Drosophila melanogaster: one gene and its partner. Changing the gene in region 2 together with the main gene of any one other region gives a genetic interaction. Each region holds a gene or a part of one and is shown on either strand. Other genes may lie near its edges. The genes, in order: Myt1 and p115.

What was found.
Region 1: of p115 (region 2) and Myt1, changing one suppresses a phenotype caused by changing the other (phenotypic suppression), as found in Drosophila melanogaster (one study listed by BioGRID).

What each region holds. Positions count from the first base shown.
Region 1 is NT_037436.4:5,774,193-5,783,561, forward strand, and holds Myt1 (Myt1), read right to left. Parts: upstream 5,400-9,369; 5' UTR 5,350-5,399; coding exon 4,395-5,349; intron 4,333-4,394; coding exon 4,187-4,332; intron 4,131-4,186; coding exon 3,766-4,130; intron 3,708-3,765; coding exon 3,572-3,707; 3' UTR 3,284-3,571; downstream 1-3,283. Other genes in the region: scny (scrawny), read left to right, coding at 997-1,380; vito (viriato), read right to left, coding at 2,220-2,952, 3,012-3,073; Pmi, read left to right, coding at 5,919-5,941, 6,192-6,340, 6,398-6,582, 6,645-6,805, 7,359-7,389; PGRP-LD (peptidoglycan recognition protein LD), read left to right, coding at 7,639-8,116, 8,479-8,657, 8,725-9,051; Cralbp (cellular retinaldehyde binding protein), read right to left, coding at 9,289-9,369. UniProt on the Drosophila melanogaster protein: Acts as a negative regulator of entry into mitosis (G2 to M transition) by phosphorylation of Cdk1 specifically when Cdk1 is complexed to cyclins. Mediates phosphorylation of Cdk1 predominantly on 'Thr-14'. Also involved in Golgi fragmentation.
Region 2 is NC_004354.4:7,889,826-7,899,905, forward strand, and holds p115 (p115), read left to right. Parts: upstream 1-4,205; 5' UTR 4,206-4,301; coding exon 4,302-6,812; 3' UTR 6,813-7,166; downstream 7,167-10,080. Other genes in the region: Nek2, read right to left, coding at 1-1,674; ND-MNLL (NADH dehydrogenase (ubiquinone) MNLL subunit), read right to left, coding at 3,305-3,475; CG45089 (uncharacterized protein), read right to left, coding at 3,497-3,661; RpS6 (ribosomal protein S6), read right to left, coding at 9,929-10,080. UniProt on the Drosophila melanogaster protein: Essential for maintaining the architecture of the Golgi stacks and for normal organization of the transitional endoplasmic reticulum (tER). Required for both the formation of the Golgi stacks and the maintenance of the individual cisternae.

The DNA of each region.
Region 1 (9,369 bases), on a different chromosome or scaffold from region 2:
ATAACAAGTTGCGGGCTTAATACGATGAAAATGTACATAAATTGGTTCTCTTTTTGCGGGTTTAACTAATTCTTTATTATTTAACTGGCTCTTTGGTCTTCTTTTTTGTTTTCTATGTCGTTCGCTTAGCTGTTGCATAAAATGCAATTCGATTGAGTTGATTTACTAAACGAACTTGTTTGTAATTTGCATTTGTTTCCACATTATCCCCATTCATTTAGACTTTTGAGTTGGTTTGTGCGAAACGGATAGCTGGTCACGGCAGTGTGGAAGGCAGCGATATCGTCGAGGGCTCGGTTGCAGTCGACGCGGCAGTGACTAGTGGCAGTGACAGTAAAGATGTGGTCGTAATTGCAGTGGCGGTAACAGACACGACCGCTGACGCACCCGATCCGGATCGTCTCACGGACGGCCGGTAGGAGGTAGAAGCGTCGGCGGCAGAGGCGACGCTTCTTCTTTTTCCCCACTAAGCACATACCACACAAAACAAATACAAATAATACGATTACCCCGAATAGTCTGTGATGGCTGCGTTGCTGGTATCCGTTCCCAACCGGGCGGTCACCACAACGCGTCCTCCGTTCAGCGAGCGTGAAAAGTGTAGAGAGAGTTGCAAAAGTCATTGCGGGAGAGAGTGACTGCACCGGAGCCTAGGTAATTCACCCGATGACTCCGCATCCGTTTTCCCGTGCAATGAAGCTTATGATTTGACTGCTGGCCGGCACGTTGTTTCTTTCATTTCAACCGCCTGATACGCCATAAATTCAACCGTTGTGCCGTTACCGTTTTGCCTGATAACCTGTTACAGTGAACCGTGAACCGTAAGCCACTCACCCATTTCGAATACAATGTGCATATTCCCAGTGCTTGTTCGCGAGCGACCGTACTCATCTGCATAAGCTCCATTAACTAGCGCATGCGTCAGCCAGCCAGCCAAGCCTCCCCATTCACAAGGTCCGAACTCTAGCCTAATGCTTGATATTCTGTTTTCCGTAGCTACTGGTGGATGCGCGTGAGCAGCGGCAGCGGGACATCGACGACGACGAAGAGAACGAGATGGATCGTGGACGTCAGCGGAAGGTGAAGTCCGGTTCGGCTAAGGGAAACAATGCCAGCAACAGCACGCCCGGGTACAATCCATTCCAGGAGTACGAGGGCCAGAAGCGCTGGAACAAGAACGGCGGAGGTGGAGGATTTCCGCGATTCTACAATCAGAACTATCGCCAGAACTTCCAGCAGCGCAACAAGTTCAAGTTCAACCGCTTCGGAGGACCAGGCAGCGCCAAGTTCCAGCAGCAGCGAGCCCTGCAACGACATCTGTCCGCCGGCGGTGGCTTCAGTCGGCGACAACCGTCGGCGCAGCAGCAGCAGCAAACCTAACTGGATGCGGATAGGCGAGGGTCAGGAGAAAGAGATGACGCCGATGCGACTGCGGCGTGTGCATTTGTTATTGGATTTCAATTTCGCATGAGTTTTGTAAACGTTTTTTAACTGCTGATGATGAACATATTAGAAATAGGAGTAGGCGTAGGACTGTAAGCTATAAGCTAGAACATAATTGTTGCCTCCCAAAATCATCCCCAACCTTCACCGAAGCACACAGTCCCATTAGAAACTAAGGCTATCATTAAGTACGATAAAAAAAAAGAAATGAAAGATTGTGTTTGGCTGAATTCGTTTTTATTTCATTGAATCGGTATCCTTGCATCAATCGCGTGCTGGCGATACCGCTTTAATGACGCCAATAATCAGACAACAAGGTTACCGCTCTAATGTTTCATTTTTAAAAAATGTTAACCCCGTAAAGGCAAACACTAAACAGGCTGCACAACTGCGCAGAATGGAAATAAAGCAACCCAATAATACGTTAAGAACCTATGCCTAACCAGCATGCAAGCAAACTTTGTACATAGATTTCGAGACTAGATTTAGGACCCATGAAAATTTTATTATAATTTTAGCGGCGCCCCCCTTTTATTTATAGAGCATAACCGAACGGCGGCGAGCAGCGATATTGCCAATGTTAATAACCCAAAAAAAATAAAGTATGTTGGATGTAATATGTACCATGATGAATACGACGGAGAGCGGTAAAAAAAAAGATCGAACGCATCGGCGTGTTAGCAAAATTATTGTACAAGCCAGGAATTATACAGTTTATTTGATTAACTAGAGTAATAGTAAATAAACCGTAAAACAAACTATGCTAAAAGCTAAATTTAGTCGGCATTCCGTTTGCGCCGCAGCTCCTTTTTGTTGACCATCCGACCCTTTCGGTATTTGGTCTGGTTGGCCTTTCCGTACTTGAGCTGCTTGCGCTGATGCTTGGGAACGCTCTTGATGGTGTTGTTGCGGTCCCGCTTGGCCTTCTTCTGGTTGTTCTTCTTGTCCAGGCGCTCCTTCTGCTTGAACAGTTTGCTCTGGTGCATTTTCTTCAGCGTTTTGGTCTTCATCAGGCGGTCGAGATCCTTTTTGCTCTTGATGTCCGGCAGCGTGGAGTTGTTGGACTTTGTGGCCTTCGGCTCCTCTTCGTCCTCCGGCTTGGGTTTACGTTTGCGGGCGTTGGGATCGAAATCCATGCCGGGTATCCTATTGGCCTGGTCGGCTTCGTCCTCCTCGCTCTGGTCAGCCTGCTCCTCCGGTTCGCTTTCCTCTGCCGTGTTGGCACCCAACATATTGCGCTTGGCGGCCAGATCGTTGGTGGTCAGCTCCACGATCTTCACCTGCACTTCATCATCTTCGTAGGTCTCCTCCTGCTGCTGCTCCGCCTCCTCGGCCTTGTCCTCCTCGGTGAGCTCGCGCAGCGGTTCGAAGGATTTCTTCAGGTGGTTAAAGCCATCCTTTACCTCCTGCCGTATGCGCTTGCGCTCGTTCTTAAGGTTTCTTTCCAGATCCGCCTTTGCACGCGATCGTCGCTCATTCTTTCTTTTCCGGAAGCCACTGAGAAACTCTCTGCGGGATTGGGATGTGGGCATTAGTATCCTCCGGGGATTCTGTGTCTCCTTACTTACATGCGTTTCTTGTTGTCGAATACAACCTCTGTTTTTTTCTTAGGAGCCTTTTTCCTGGTCATTTTCAAAAATTGTGCTACTCGTTTTTGTTTACGTTTTCAACATGTGCGAGCGGCCAGTGTTACCAGATGGGCAAAATACTTTTCCCCGAAACGAAAGGTACGTTAGAATTCAAAAATGTTTTAAAAAAAATTTTTATAGTTATACGTTTCTTGGTTTTTACCTTTAATTTGTTGTTATCATATGTCATAGATGGCATTCAGTGCAGGTTTCAATTTCAATAAGTTTTTTATTTTTAAACTTTTCAAATCGCTTTTCGTATATATATCACATGATTATATGTTCAAGTTCAACAAGTTCTTCTAAAGAAGCATTAACATTACACAATCGTAAGACTATATCTAGGGAACTTCGTACAACACTACGGTCTAGAACTAATCAAAATACAATTAACGATATATTCTGTTGCCATATGTATCTGGTATTCGTTTCGTAACTGATATATATTGGGTTTATCATAAATTCATTCGGTTTACGTTGCTCGCTGGCACCGTACTCACTCACTCGTCGTCATATTCCAGGACGAAGAGCTTTTTGCGTCGGAACGATGAGGTGTCCAGGACCTTGGCGGAAGATAGGGCGGAACACGGACTCTCGAAATCGTGTACATGAACGTACCTGCCCATTGAATCAACACTGAAAGCGGATGGGTTATGTGCGCTAGTCCATGAGCTAATCGATTAAGGGTACTTACTTATTCTTTAGCAAATCCAGACGGGATTTGCCTTGGTTTGTGTTCAATGGCGTGGAATTTATTACGTTGGGGCTACCCTGATTGGAGAGGTCCAGCGGGTCCTCGCCGGAAAGGAAGTCGGAGGCATAGCAGTCACGATTGGCAATGGGTGTGGATCCTACCAGCTGGAACTCCACCTGAGGCACCAGAGGCACTCCCTTTGACGAAGGCGAGGAGGGCACTATGTTAATATTGGGCTGTGAGGCCGTTATGGGCTTGCATAGATGCAGGACCTCCAGGAAGTATAGAAGGTAACGAAAGGCGGCTGTTTTCCAATTGCACATTCTTCCCCAAACGGCGCGGCGAGATCGCCTAAAACTACGCGACTGCAAGTTGTCAAGGGTTAAGATTGATTCTCAAAGATGTGCTTGGGAATGCTTACCAGCATGCTGAAGTTCATCAGCGACTTGCGCTTCTTTTGCAGGTACTGCAGCTTGGGATGTGAGAGTAGCTGCTCGGCCGTCGGCCTCTGCGCAGGATCGGGCTTCATCATGGACTTAATTACCGACTGCAGCTCCAGTGATATTTCTGTGCGAAGAGAAAGGCTTTAGCAACCTGCCATTTAAGTAGGCAGCTAGTTCGCAACTCACTGTTTATGAACTCCTCGGGCAGAATGCCGTGCCTCAGTTCGTGCCACAGTGGGCCGTTGGAAGGAAGATCCATGTAGCATGCCAGCTCTAGCATGGCAATGCCCAGACTGAAGATGTCCGCAGCCTTGGAGAAGTGACCCTGCAGGATCTCTGGAGCCATATACCTCGAATCTCCCTCCGTGGCGTGATGGCTGTTGGCCCTGTCCACATCGATGACCAGTCCAAAGTCTGCCAGCTTGCACGTCTCGTCGTCCTCGCCGATCAGAACGTTGTCCAGTTTAATGTCCAGATGGATGAGATTCCGGTCGTGCAGCGACTTGAGACCCCGCAGCAGATCCAGCAGGATGTGCCAGATGCGCTCCTCCGGTATCCTTTGGCAGCGCAGCAAGTACTGCTCCAGACTTTCGCGGCACAGCTCCATTTGCATGTACAGTCGGTCGTACTGCTCCCAGGCGCGGATGAACCGGATGCAGTTCTCATGGCCGGAGAACTCCTCGTAGCGCCGCACCTCTTCCAGCCGCTCTGCGCGGTACTGTTCGCCGCGGAACAGTTGCTTGGAGATCTTGACGGCATATAACTGGCCGTCGGAGCGATCGCGCACCTGGAATACCTCGCCGAAGGATCCTTCGCCCAGTTTGGCCAGCCTTTCGAAGCACTGCTCGAAGTGTGACAGGGAGAGGGTGCTCAGCTCGGCCTGGACTGGTGACGAGGGCAGCGTACTGGAATCCGAACATCCGGCGTCCCGGAAGGAGATCGCGTGCGCGATCTGGGAACTGTTGGTGCTACAGGAGCCCAGCGATTGGCTTCGGTTCAGATTGTTGTTGTCCACGGCGACGTAGCCACGCGTCTTGTACTTGGGCGGCCGGAAGCGATTGCTGTTCTCCCCATTGCACTGTTTGTGTCTGTGTTTGTCGTCGTGCAATTCCGGGAGGGGCAGGCGATGATGCTTTTCCATTTTCAATTTTGGGTGTCTTTTCTTATGAGTGGGCGAGTGTGACCATATCGGACAGCCGGCGAAATCCTGGCTTCTTCGCTTGGGACAATAAGAGCCGGCTAATTCATTTAACACATGTATCTTATATTTTTGATCTTTATTGGGAGTATAATTATTGATTTCAATTAAGTTAAGCTCCTATAATCGTATACAGATTTTACATGATTTGCCTCTTAAATGCCTCAATTATCGTAAATAGAGATGGGAGAGTTGAGTAGTTGGAAGAACAATAGAAATACTGAAATATTTTTAAAAACTTTAATCTAATCTAATTGTCTTTATGAATATAGGTAAATAAGCAAATAAATTGCTAAATAGTGGAATTAAGCCTTTATATATAGGCCGCTCTTTAAAGGAGAATGGTATTTGCGAATACGATATAATTCAAAAGTGCCGCCCAACTGCGGTATTTTTTTGGAAGATTGCTATTTGCAGTATTATGCCCTTAGGTACCTGGTATATTTTAACGGTCCAGCTGCGGCCGCACTGAGTTTATGAACAACATAGAAAACAACAAATTTATTAGCAAAATGGTTAGCAGAAATATAGAAAGGTAAATACGGCGCCTAGTTACGTGAATGCAGTGGGATTACGCAACACATTCCACCTGGGTGCAGCCAAATCCCAGTTCCCAAGTGCACCTGCCCTGGTTATGCAATTTACTAGGCGGCTTCTTCATTTATCTCGTCTGCACAATGGCTTCTCTGCTTCGGTTGTTCTGAGCGCTTGATCTTGACCTTAACCTTGAGTTCCACATCAAGATAACCATGATTGATTCGTGTATTGTTGTTCTAATTGTGCAGCACGAGTAAGGTGCCCACTTTCCATGTCATCCGCGAGGTCTACGACAGCTCCAATGCCCATGAAAGATTCGAGGCTGAGCTGGACAAGGCGCTGGAAGCCAAGTTGGACTTCATCGTTATAGAGCCGCCTCGGCTGGGCGACGAAACTGGTAAGCACTTGGAAGTGCTTCCTTTTAAAGCACAGTATTAATTTCATATCTCCACAGGTCGTTGGATTTGGGTGGGCAATTGCCTGCACAAGACGGCGGTGGCCACTGGAGTGGTTTCCCTGGTGGCCAGCTTGCTGTGGCGGGATCGCCCCATCATTGCAGCTCCCGCTTGTGCACTCTCGATTTTTTGCACAGGACTGTACACGGTTTCCTGGAACTACGATCCATGTTGTCAATATCAGGTATGAAAGGAAAAGTTCTAGATATCCAAGATTGAGAAGCTCACTTTGGTTGTGTTTTTCAGGTGGAAAATAATGACACCGTGTTGGAGAAACTGCCACTGACAGATGTCTCCTCGCCTGTGATTTTGGGCTACTCGCCCAACTCAAAAACCAAATACTTGCACCGTAGCGTATCCTTGCTCTCGGCTGCCCTGTGCGCCTGGCAGATTTGGAGGTCCTACAAGTAAGGGATTTGCAGGAGCTCTGAAATGTCCAGGTGCTGGATTAGGCCTGTCCCCTGTCTCGCGGACGCGTAATACCTAATAAGTTAAGTTTAGGCACATAGGCGAATGCATTTCTTTTAGATTTTCGAACGATTTTAACACAATGTATTGTCTTTCGTGAAACTTTTAAATGTTCCCATAAACCAGTGTCCATGTCCAGTGTTCCCGTGGCTGCCACTTGCACTGGCTAGCATGCTCATAACTTATTACGGTCCCCAAGCCCAAGTTAGTCTTAAGGGAGGAGCAGCCTCTGCACTGTAAATTAAGCAAAGCCAACCTCTGTGTATAAAGCGAAACCCATTTATGATTGTTATTAGAGTCTAGTTGAAGATATCAGCAAACGAAAGTCAAGTAAACGCGATGCGAATGTTACTCCCGGCTTTAAAGTTACTCCATAGCTAAGAGAGTCTAAGAGTGAGTGCGATAAGAGACCCCTTCGAAATTCGTAGCTGATGATTTAATGGAAATGTTGTGCTTCATGCGGGCTGGTTCTCTCCCTTGTTCTCGTCTCAGTCGTTTTGTGCATTCTGCTGGCAGTGGTTGACAGCGGCGACTCCGATCGATCGAGTGGTGTGTTCCAGTGCGATCCGGTAAGGAGCTGACCCACTCACAGCACCACCTTGATGCCGAGGCTGCAGCCAGAGCGGTCTAGCCATGGACTCCAGCCACATAGCCGTGCGAGTGGGTAAGTCCGACGATAGATAAGCCCTTGTCTTGATAAGATATAGTTAAATGGGTGAGATATACGAATGCGTGCATCTCGGCTGGATATCCCAGCTCAGTTAGTGGCAAGATGCCGATCTTTGTGAGCGCCTACAGTCTGCGTGCCATCAGCAAATACTATGCCCACCAAGATCAGAGTGGCCTGGACAAACTGTGCCACTTGACTAATCATCTGGTCGCCTTTATCTTGGCTAAACTCCATAATTTGTTGTTTGCTCTATATTTCGCTACGATAGCACGTCGTAGTCCCTCGCCGGCCGCCGTCTCTCAGTCGTCGTACGGCAGCCTGGGTTCCAGCCAAGATATACACATTCGAGTGGACAAGGAAGGCGTTGCAAGCGAATCCACTCCCTTGCTGGCAGCTGCTCAGCGGTCCATCAAGACGTCCTCATCCCTCACAGCCTCAGTCTCAGCCTCCTCCACGACGCCTTCGAATTGCCGAAGGAACCCGACGCTCCACGAAGACTGCTTCAATTGGCGCTCGGTGGGACTGCTGGTCATGTGTGCATCCGCCTTGGCACTGGCCGCCTATTTGCTCTGGAGACAAAGTGAGTTTGCCCGCTGATGGTGGACGTGCACGAGTACGTGCTCAAATCGTTATTGTTACATATATGCATAATAAATAAATCTCAATTAGCTGTGAGTTATGATAAGCTGCTCATGTGCGTTTTGATGGGCAGGCGAAAGTATTCAAAGAAAAATCGATCTATACTCATAATATAATGTATCTGGCATTAAATTTGTATAGTAAAACATTTTAAAGCCATCCCTCATTTTTTTTTTTTGTTTAACTTAAGATTCGTTTTATTTTTCGTATGCATGCATATGACTCATTGTTAAATTTTTCTAAATTCGCCTTTATAGGTGGACAAAGCCACTTAATGACTGAATCACTTTGCACTGCTTGCAGCCCAAACGCCGGACTTTGGCTATCGACTCAGTATCGTGGGTCATGGCATATGGTCGGATATGGAACTTCAGGGTCGGGGAACTCTTTTCGATCCGATCGGTGTCGGCACAGTGATTTTTACCCACACTGGAAGCAATGAATGCCACGATGATTGCCCGGATGTATTGCATAAGCTGGAAGTGAGTTAATCGGACATAAGTATGTGTAGTACATTGTAATCAAAGCTAAATTCATTCATCTCCTTAGAGGTCGCATGTGGGGGAGCTGCCCTACAACTTTCTGGTCGCCGGTGATTGTCAGGTTTTCGAGGCACAAGGATGGCACTATCGGAGCCAGTATCCAAGGGATCTAAATGGAATAGACTCGTTGGTGATGGCCTTTGTGGGTAACTTCAGCGGCAGACCACCCATCGATTGCCAGTTGATGGCCGCCCAGGCTCTGATCCTTGAGTCTTTAAAGCGTCGGATTCTGCAGCCAATTTACCAACTCTTCGTGTTGGGCAGCTATACGGACGCACTGCAGCGGGAACTGAGGCACTGGCCGCACTACGCGAGCCACCAAACGTCCAAGTGAAGCAACAAAGAGATGATTCCAAATTATTCCTCTCGTTTATTGTACGCCAAACACAAACACAGTATACAAAGAAGCGCAGGATGAGTAAAGCGGTTGCCACCGATAAGCGAATCAGGGATCCCCAGGATCGGGCGCTGGCCAGGATCGGGGGACCGGCGAAGCGTTGCGCATTGGGTTAATTGATTGGATGTTGCCTAAGACTAAGGACTATAAACTTAAACTACAACTGGCGATCGGTTAGTCGAACTCCAGTTTCCGAAAGCTACCCTCGATGGACTCGATTTGTGAAACGAAGTTGGGTCCGCCGGTGGAGGCCTT
Region 2 (10,080 bases):
GATACCATAGGTAACAAACTTTTGGGGCGACTTGAAGGTAACCTTACGCAGAGTATTTAGCGATTTTGGTGCCGGAAGTGTGGCTAAATTGAGTTTAGCCACCGTGGGCGACGTCTCGTTGAGTTCGATAGTGCAGTAGGTGTCATCATGGTGCGATTTCGCTGGCTTCCTAGGAGGAATGGGCGGAGCTATCGGCTGTCTGCAACTACAAGTGTGTTTCTCCTGCTGAAGAAGTTTTTCCTGCATCTGCCGCTCCAGCGTTTGCACGCGCTGTTCGGCCAGCTGTAACTCCTGCTCCCGGGTCTGCAGCTCTTCGAGCTTCTGCTGCAACAGGGATTCTTGGGCACGAATGGCGTGGAGACGGGTCTTTAGTACTTCATCGAATATGTTTTGGGTAAGAGCACGAGGACTGCTAGGGGCCTCCTTTAGAAGCTCCTGATCCCTTTTCTGCTGCTCCTGATCCTTTTTACGGCGCCGCTCTTCCGCCAGTTCCACCTGCCTCTCCTCCGCTCGCTCCTCTCTCCTTATACTTTCATAAAGAGAGGGATCCGACAGCTGTAGTTTCTTGGCAGGAAAGATTTTGCGCTTGGCGGAGTAGAAGAGTTCACTTCGCAAATCTGGAGTAAACACACCAGTAACGCTGAGTCTCCTTTGCCCATAGCCTTCATTGAAGCTGTACTGTTCCGTAAACATGGTGCTCGATAGCTCTGGATGAACTCCATCTTCCTCTTCGTCCTCGAAAAGCCTGGCACCCGAAGGCAGTGTGTAGAAATCCTCTCCAGAATCAACTAGAATTGGGAACTTGCCATCCAACTCGCTAATATTACGCACCACCAGAGGATGCCGAATGATAACCTCGATGCCAGGACGCTGTTCATGATCCACTGCCAGCATGAAGGCGATGATCTCCTGCAGATCAGTACTATAGATTGCCGGAATCCGACTGAACTCACCCTGGGCGATCTTCTCGGACAACTGGTCAAAGGCTCTGCCGCGAAACGGCGGTCTTAGGGCACACATCTCGTATACCAAACAACCAACGGCCCAGACATCGCTCTTCCGATCGTATTTCCTGCCCTTCACCAACTCCGGACTCATGTAGTGCGGAGTGCCCACAAAGGAGGCGGCAAAGCTCTGATCTCGTCGCAGCATTCTGGCCAGACCGAAATCTCCCAGTTTGGCATTCCCGGCCGCATCCAGGAAAATATTTGCTGGCTTGATATCGCGATGCAAGATGGTTCCGTTGGGGATTTTGTTGTGGCACACCTGAAGCGCCCGGCAAAGTTGGAAGAGCACCCGCCAGATGTAGGGCTCCTCAAACCGCTGCCTCTGGGATCTCGCTCGCTGGACAATCTGGGCGAGATCGCCGCCGGCACAGCACTCCATAACAATGTACACCGACTTGGCCTCTCGGTTCACCAGATGATGGTAGTATTGCACAATGTTAGGATGCTGGAGCTGCCGCAGAACACTGATTTCCGAAACCAAAGCGTCGCACTTGGCCTCGTCCAGTTCATCGTAGTTCATTCCCTTCCAGGCGAACAATTCACCGGTGCTTTTGTCGCGCACCTTGTAGCAGGTGCCGAAGGATCCATTCCCCATCACGGCCAAAACCTCGTAATCCTGCAGGGTCTTTTGCGAAAAGTCCATGCCGGCAGATTCCTCTCCGCTCATTTTGCCTTAAGTCTTTTTTTTACTCTTTGGGTATTTTGGGTATTCCGCCGCCGATTACAAATGATCCGCTTGCTACAAAACCCAAACACGATTTGAGACTGGTTTTTGGGATGCAGGATTTCTGGAATTCTCATTGCTACCTGCAAGAACGGGAGAGAGAGCAACAACAAGTGCGCGAGAGAGAGGTTTAAGTAGTGCCGCTACCCCGCTAAATAGGGCGGAAGAATGAATATTCTAAAAACAAGCTAGATTTGTAATTTTTACAAAATACATTTTGCAAATATGCAATCTAATGATATAATTACATACATAAACAAATAGCTATTTCATCATTAAATTAAGAAATTGTAATATGGATTAAAATACAAAACTATTTAAAAACCAATATACAAGACAACTACCGATTAAAATTGATAGCAGTCATTTCAACCTGACCTTCATATAAATAACCTCTCCATAAAACCCTTTCGCACCTGCATGCTAATGCCCAATTTGGCTATTTTCCCGCCGAGAGACACCAGCACTGTTATGTTATTGTTGCACGTCTGGATCTCTCGTTTCCTTCCAGGAACAAAGATCGTGCTATTACCCTCTCGCTCCCAACCACAGTTCAACGGTATCCACTTGCAAATCTCTGGCATCTCACCCTCTCGCTCACGCTCTCCCCCGCTGTGAGAGAGAGAAAGCCCTTGAAAGGCGAAAATCTGGAAAATCCGTTCCATTTGATCCCACTGCGCCTGTGTACAAACTACTGACCATTGGAAACAATGGTCTAGAGAGGGGCAGCACGCCCAAGAACACAATTCCAGCGATTCATCACGCTCAATTTTGGAACTCGAGCCCAAAACCGATCTTAAACCGGAATCCAAAACCGAGTACAAACCCCTAGCCCTGAGCCATAAAAATAAATTAGTTTTGTTCCATTGGCATTTCAATTTGCTGCCTTGTTTGTTAAAGTGGAAATGTCCTTATCGGATTTCATATTTCATATTTGAAGTGAGCGATTATCCATTCTGTCTAACGGTTTTTACTGGAAGCAGTTACATAGTACATATAGGCATGGTCGTGCAAATGAAAGTTTTTAGGGGGCTCATGCTTATAAAAGTTTTTTTTTTCTATTAATTCTTAAAAATCTCGATTCACATGTATTAGATAATTCAATGCCATTTAACGAAACTCATTTAAAAAGACTACTCTCGGTTACCACATTTCAAGTGATTTATGTGACATGCTCAAGAAGTTCTACAATAAATAATAAGAGTTTTGGTAGAATACACCAATGCTCTTCTAAAATATCCAGCCTACGCCCCTGATCCGAACTAAGCAGAACTCGCATATCGTGCAGCGATGCCCAGGTAAAATCCTTCGAAAAACGAGTTATCTCCTTGGATTTTTCATTGGTTTTCGGCTTATCGTTAGACGTGTGTTGAGGTTTTTATGTTTTTCCTGAGTAAAACAAACAATGGTACGCAATCCTTCACAAATAAATCACGTTCCCGACCGCAAATCTCGTCCGCTGGCCATGCAGGTAAACTAGACGACAGGCGTATTTCACATTTCTCCGGTTTATTGAATAACAGTGAATTGGGGGAAAAAAAATAATATTTTGGGATGGCGATGTTGGGCAGGCCTACCAGGATGGCGCCTTACCCTCGCTGCCGGCGGGACGGCCGTATAGGGCACTCTTGTCCCGGAACATGGTCATACGTTCCGTTTCCTTCTTGTCCAGGAAGTGGCCAATGGCAAATCCCAGCAGGGGCAACGCGCCCCACAGTGCTCGCTTATCCAGTCCCAAGACCATGGTGTATATTTGTGTATCCTCTTAGCGCTGATCCTTCAGCTGGGCTCGGTGTGCCAACTGGAGCTGCTGGCGTTTCCACTGGCGGGTGTGCGACCAATCTGCGTAAATCGATCCGACTGCAACAGTGGGAAAGAATATCACTGCGCCGTACTTTCGAGCCAATTGAACCACAATCCCACTGCCCATAGGTCTGCAAGACAAGCACAGGAGATGGCGAGATTTACATATGATTTACACAAATTGATGTGGGGATTGTTATGTTATGGGTTGACATTTTGCCGCATTACGTAATAAAAACGAGTGATTTCTCCCAGCGTCGTGATAACTGTGTTGATATTTTTGAGAACTTCTTACGCCGCGTGTGTGGAACGCTTTATATTGTATTTTTTGGGATTCTCTCGTTTAGTTTTAAACACAAATTTGCTAAATTAGTTTTGTTTTCAACTTACTTATAGCATCGATAGCACCAGGGCTGTCGAGTCGTTTTTAGTTTAATAAAATTTTGGCAGTAAGACTATCGCCGACAGGGATGCCACTCAGCTTAAGTCCCGACGTCAGCTAGAAAGTAGCAATATTTTATGTAATTCAAAAAAAAGTTTTAGATTATCAAAAAAGTGTAAATATAGGTAATTACACAAACATGGTCAAATATGGTAAATTGTAATTCTAAAAATATATTTAATATATTTAAAGACAAGCCGCTTATCGATAAGTGGGCGTCTATCGGACTTTAGCCATCGCTAAGCCGCCCGTCAATTGTTTTCATGAATTGACGTGTCTTGTTGAATGCGAAAAAACCCAGAATAGACCGTAAACACACACTCGCATGGAGTTCCTGAAGAGTGGCATCAAAACGGTGCTGGGCAGCACGGAGCCGGGTCAGCAGCCGAGTGCCGCCGAGACGGTGGAGAAGCTGGTGGACCGTGTCTACTCCTCAACGCTCCTGGAGGATCGACGGGATGCCTGCCGAGCGCTAAAAGCCCTGTCCCGCAAGTACCGCATCGAGGTGGGCGCACAGGGCATGCCTCCGCTGGTCCAGGTGCTCCAGAACGACGGACAGGATGCAGAGATCATCAGCTATGCGCTGGACACACTGTGCAACGTGGTTACTAGCGAGGAGTTCGACGAGGAGGCTGATAATCCCACCGTTTCGGTGAATGTGGGCGAGCAGTTCACGGAGATGTTCATCAAGACACCGGAGCATGTAACCCTGGTAATGGGCTATCTGGACGAATACGATTTTCGAGTGCGTCGCGCTGCCATCCAACTGATTACGTCCCTCATTTCGAACAAGACGCGGGAGCTGCAGGATTTGATTCTGGTCAGTCCGATGGGCGTTTCCAAGCTGATGGATCTGCTGACGGACAGCCGCGAAGTGATTCGCAACGATGTCCTTCTGCTGCTTATCGAACTGACCAAGGGCAACTCAAACATCCAAAAGATTGTGGCCTTTGAGAATGCCTTTGACCGCCTTTTTGAAATTGTCCGTGAGGAGGGCTGTTCGGATGGCGGAATTGTTGTGGAGGATTGCCTAATTCTGCTATTGAATCTTCTCAAGAACAACTCCAGTAATCAGCAGTTCTTTAAGGAGGGCAGCTATATCCAGCGATTGTCGCCAATGTTTGAGCTCTCACAGGATGCGGAAGAGGTTGGCTGGTCGCCACAGAAGGTCTCAAACTTCCATTGTCTGCTGCAGGTGGTGCGGGCACTGGTCACGCCCAGTAATCAACAGCAGGTGGTGGCCGCCTGCCAGCGGGTCATGCAAAAGTCTCGACTGCTCCATGCTCTTTGCGAGATTCTGATGAGCAGTGGTGTCCCTGCGGATATACTCACGGAAACCATCAATGCAGTGGCCGAAGTGGTGCGCGGCGATCGGGACAACCAGGATGAATTGGGAAGAGTTATGGCTCCGAGCAGTCCACCCAGACCTGCCATCGTGGTCCTTCTTATGTCCATGATCAATGAGAAACAACTGCTGGCACTGCGTTGCGCCGTACTCTACTGTTTCGAGTGCTTTCTTTATCGCAATGCCGATGGCCAGCGGGCGGTTGTACAGACCCTGCTGCCCTCCAGTGCGTCCGATGTGAGTGCCCTTTCGACGGGACAACTCCTTTGCACCGGACTCTTCTCCACAGATGCGCTTGCCAACTGGTTCTCCGCTGTGGCCCTAATGCACTCACTCGTAGAGAATGTCGCCCTAAAGGAGGAACTACTGCGCGTACTGCTGGCCACTCCTGGTGGCCAAAAGCCTATCACGCTACTCGAGCAGTGCACTAATCTCATGCAGCAGGAACGCTACCGTTTGCAAAGCAAGGTGGGTCTGCTAATGCTACTCAGCCTGTGGCTGGCGCATTGTCCAGGTGCGGTGAAGGCTTTGCTGGAAACGCAGGGCACCATGGCCTACCTGACCGCTCAACTTTGCTCCAACGAGCACGATGAACGAGAGTTCCTTGTCCAGGGCATGTGCGCATTCCTAATGGGCCTGTGCATCCAGTTCAATGACAACTCGCTGCCGGGGCAGAAGCGCGAGGACATCAGTCAGCTGATCATCAAGCGAATTGGCCAGGAGAGCTTCTGTAGCAAACTAGCAGAAGTGTCGCGACATGAGGCCTACAGTCGGGCATGCAAGCAGGCCCAGATCCGTGCCAAATCCGCTGGGGAACTACTGCTTGACTTCGAGTATTGCAAGCTGTACAAGGGACTGGAGGCGTTGATTGCCAAGCTGGTTAGCGGATTTGATGTAGATGGCATTGAACTGACCGAACTCACGTTGAGCTCGGAAGCTTCTGCATTGGTTTCCCAGTACAAGGGGATTATCCGCGGCATGGATGCCCAGATCCAAGCACTGCAGCAATCCTCCAAAGAACTGGAACAGGAGAATGCCGAGCTGAAGGAGAAACTTGGTGAGGAGCAGTCGCTCAAGGCGCAGCTCTTGGACCAGAACACGCTGCTTAAGGCACAGCTGGGAGCCTCGACCGGTCAGGTGCAGTCCGCCCAAGGTGCGGAAGCCACGCCGCCCAACGAGGAGGAGCTAAATGCCGCTCGCTACCAGGCCAACATGTACTTTGCCGAAAACATTCGTCTAACTAAGGAGCTGGAGACACTACGTCAGCAGTTATCAGCCGAAAAACAGAGTGCAGATGCGGCGCAAGATTCCCTGGCGGCGATGCAAAAGGATCAAGAAGATTTGCTCGAACTGCTGGCCGATCAGGAGGCAAAGCTAACGCGATACGAAGAAGCGGGCTCGACTAATACCCTTCCGACTTCCAATGTAGCTCCAAGCGTGCCGGCAGCTGGCGGAGGAAGCCCCATCCCAAGTGGCACCGCCAGCAGGTAGAAATCGTAACGCGGATGAGTTGCTAGCCACGTACATGTTACAACTGGAAATTGCTCGACTGCCCTAAAAACGTTAAAATATCTTATATACACACATTCTACTTGTTTTACATTTATTTAACTTACGTATAGAATATATGTCTAGATCAGAATTTAAACGAATCCATTATTGTTTTGGCGGGAACTGCAGCAAATCGCAAGAGATAGCTACATATATCGGCTCACGATTTCCTGTTTCCATCTCTTTCCGATTCCGATTTGCCCATATAATGGCTTATGTTGGAATTCGAAGATAGTGTTTGTTCTGCGTTTATTTGTTTAACAATATTAATATACCTATGATTGGGTAAATCGTAATGTTGTAAAAAAAAAACCATTTAAACAGTTTTTCGACCTTCCTTTCTCAGAAAATAATAAATGGCCTTACTTTAATTGAACTATTTGTCGGAACTGTTGCATTTACCTGGGGGAAAAATAGATTGAAATAATTAATTAAAAATCAAAAATATTTTTCAGCGTTTCCGCTGGCACCCGATACATTAGAATAGATATCCTAAAGCTTAATTAGCTCAATCGCTCAATATACATAATTGAACACAACACACCACATTCTATACCATTTATCGCGTTTATTTAACAAAAATGGTTATTGTGATCAACATTCAGTTTCTGCTTAAACGAAGAATGTGGGTTCAGAGTCTGCGGTATTTACTTCTTGCCGCTGAAGACAGAGCTTTTCGGCTTGCGAATGGTGACATAACGGCCGCGGTTGGCCTTGGACTCCTTCTTGCGCTTGACCAACAGTTTGACGTATTCGGCGATAGCCTCCTTGGTTGCATTCTGGCGCTTCTTCTGGTGCCTGCGCTGCAGCTTAACAGGGATGACCTCATCATCTTCCTCGCACAAATAGTAGATCTTGCTGATGTTGCTGGAACGCACGGGTCCCAGGCGACATGGGGAGGGATTCTTCTTGAGAACGACCAAAGTCAGCGCGGATACGTTGGCTTCCACGGTGTATTTACGCACAGTCTTGCACTTGCGCACTTTATTGCAGCGTGGATGGAAGCACGAGTGTATCTTCTTCAGGAGACGCAAACGGCCTGTTGGAAAAGATGATTGTTTTTTTAAGTAGTTTCTTGAGAGGAGTCCATGGATGGATGTGTTTGCAAATACTTAAGGAAATTTATTATACCAATTGGATGCTCAACTTTGGAGCGTACTCCAATCACATATAGTTAATTATTAGCTTTTAGCAACTGGAAATATTCGCTTTGTATTGCTCAGAATGGAAGAACTCACCACGAATATGCACATAAGAATACACAGACGATTTCATATTTAAGGTATGTTCTCTAGATATATTATCACAAGACTGATCCAGGTTGCTTGGCTAATGACAGAAGAAGACAAGCAACCTCATGACAGAAGATACCCAGGTTGCTTAGCTTATTACAGATGCTTAAAAGGGTTTCCATACGGAACATAGAAATCTACACATGGGACCATTATTGCTTTAGCGGGGACTGCAGCAAATCGCAATAGATAGCTACATATATCCGCTCACGATTTCCTGTTTCCATCTCTTTCCGATTCCGATTTGCCCATATAATGGCTTATGTTGGAATTCCAAGATACTGTTTGTTTGTTTTCCATGGTTTCCTTACCAAAAAATGCCGCTGGCTAGCTCATAACCAAAATCACATGCAATATGAAAACATTTACACCCGATACTTTAGTATATATATCCTAAAGCTTACACTCGCTCAATCGATCAATATAATTGAACACAACACACCACATTCTATACCATTTATCGCGTTTATTTAACAAAAATGGTTATTGTGATCAACATTCAGTTTCTGCTTAAACGAAGAATGTGGGTTCAGAGTCTGCGGTATTTACTTCTTGCCGCTGAAGACAGAGCTTTTCGGCTTGCGAATGGTGACATAACGGCCGCGGTTGGCCTTGGACTCCTTCTTGCGCTTGACCAACAGTTTGACGTATTCGGCGATAGCCTCCTTGGTTGCATTCTGGCGCTTCTTCTGGTGCCTGCGCTGCAGCTTAACAGGGATAACCTCATCATCTTCCTCGCACAAATAGTAGATCTTGCTGATGTTGCTGGAACGCACGGGTCCCAGGCGACATGGGGAGGGATTCTTCTTGAGAACGACCAAAGTCAGCGCGGATACGTTGGCTTCCACGGTGTATTTACGCACAGTCTTGCACTTGCGCACTTTATTGCAGCGTGGATGGAAGCACGAGTGTATCTTCTTCAGGAGACGCAAACGGCCTGTTGGAAAAGATGATTGTTTTTTTAAGTAGTTTCTTGAGAGGAGTCCATGGATGGATGTGTTTGCAAATACTTAAGGAAATTTATTATACCAATTGGATGCTCAACTTTGGAGCGTACTCCAATCACATATAGTTAATTATTAGCTTTTAGCAACTGGAAATATTCGCTTTGTATTGCTCAGAATGGAAGAACTCACCACGAATATGCACATAAGAATACACAGACGATTTCATATTTAAGGTATGTTCTCTAGATATATTATCACAAGACTGATCCAGGTTGCTTGGCTAATGACAGAAGAAGACAAGCAACCTCATGACAGAAGATACCCAGGTTGCTTGGCTTATTACAGATGCTTAAAAGGGTTTCCATACGGAACATAGAAATCTACACATGGGACCATTATTGTTTTGGCGGGGACTGCAGCAAATCGCAAGAGATAGCTACATATATCCGCTCACGATTTCCTGTTTCCATCTCTTTCCGATTCCGATTTGGCCATATAATGGCTTATGTTGGAATTCCAAGATAGTGTTTGTTTTCCATGGTTTCCTTACCAAAAAATGCCGCTGGCTAGCTCATAACCAAAATCACATGCAATATGAAAACATTTACACCCGATACTTTAGTATATATATCCTAAAGCTTACACTCGCTCAATCGATCAATATAATTGAACACAACACACCACATTCTATACCATTTATCGCGTTTATTTAACATAAATGGTTACAAAGTTTTATTTCTCCTCTCGTGGATCATTTGGTTGTGATCAACGTTCAGTTTCTGCTTAAACGAAGAATGTGGGTTCCGTGTCGCGGTGTTTACTTCTTGTCGCTGGAGACAGAGCTCTTGGACTCGCGAATGGAGGCAGAACGGCGGCGCTTGGCCTCCTCGCGCTTGGCCTTGGACTCCTTCTTGCGCTGCACCAACAGCTTGGCGTAGTCGGCGGAAGCCTCCTTGGAAGCGATCTGGC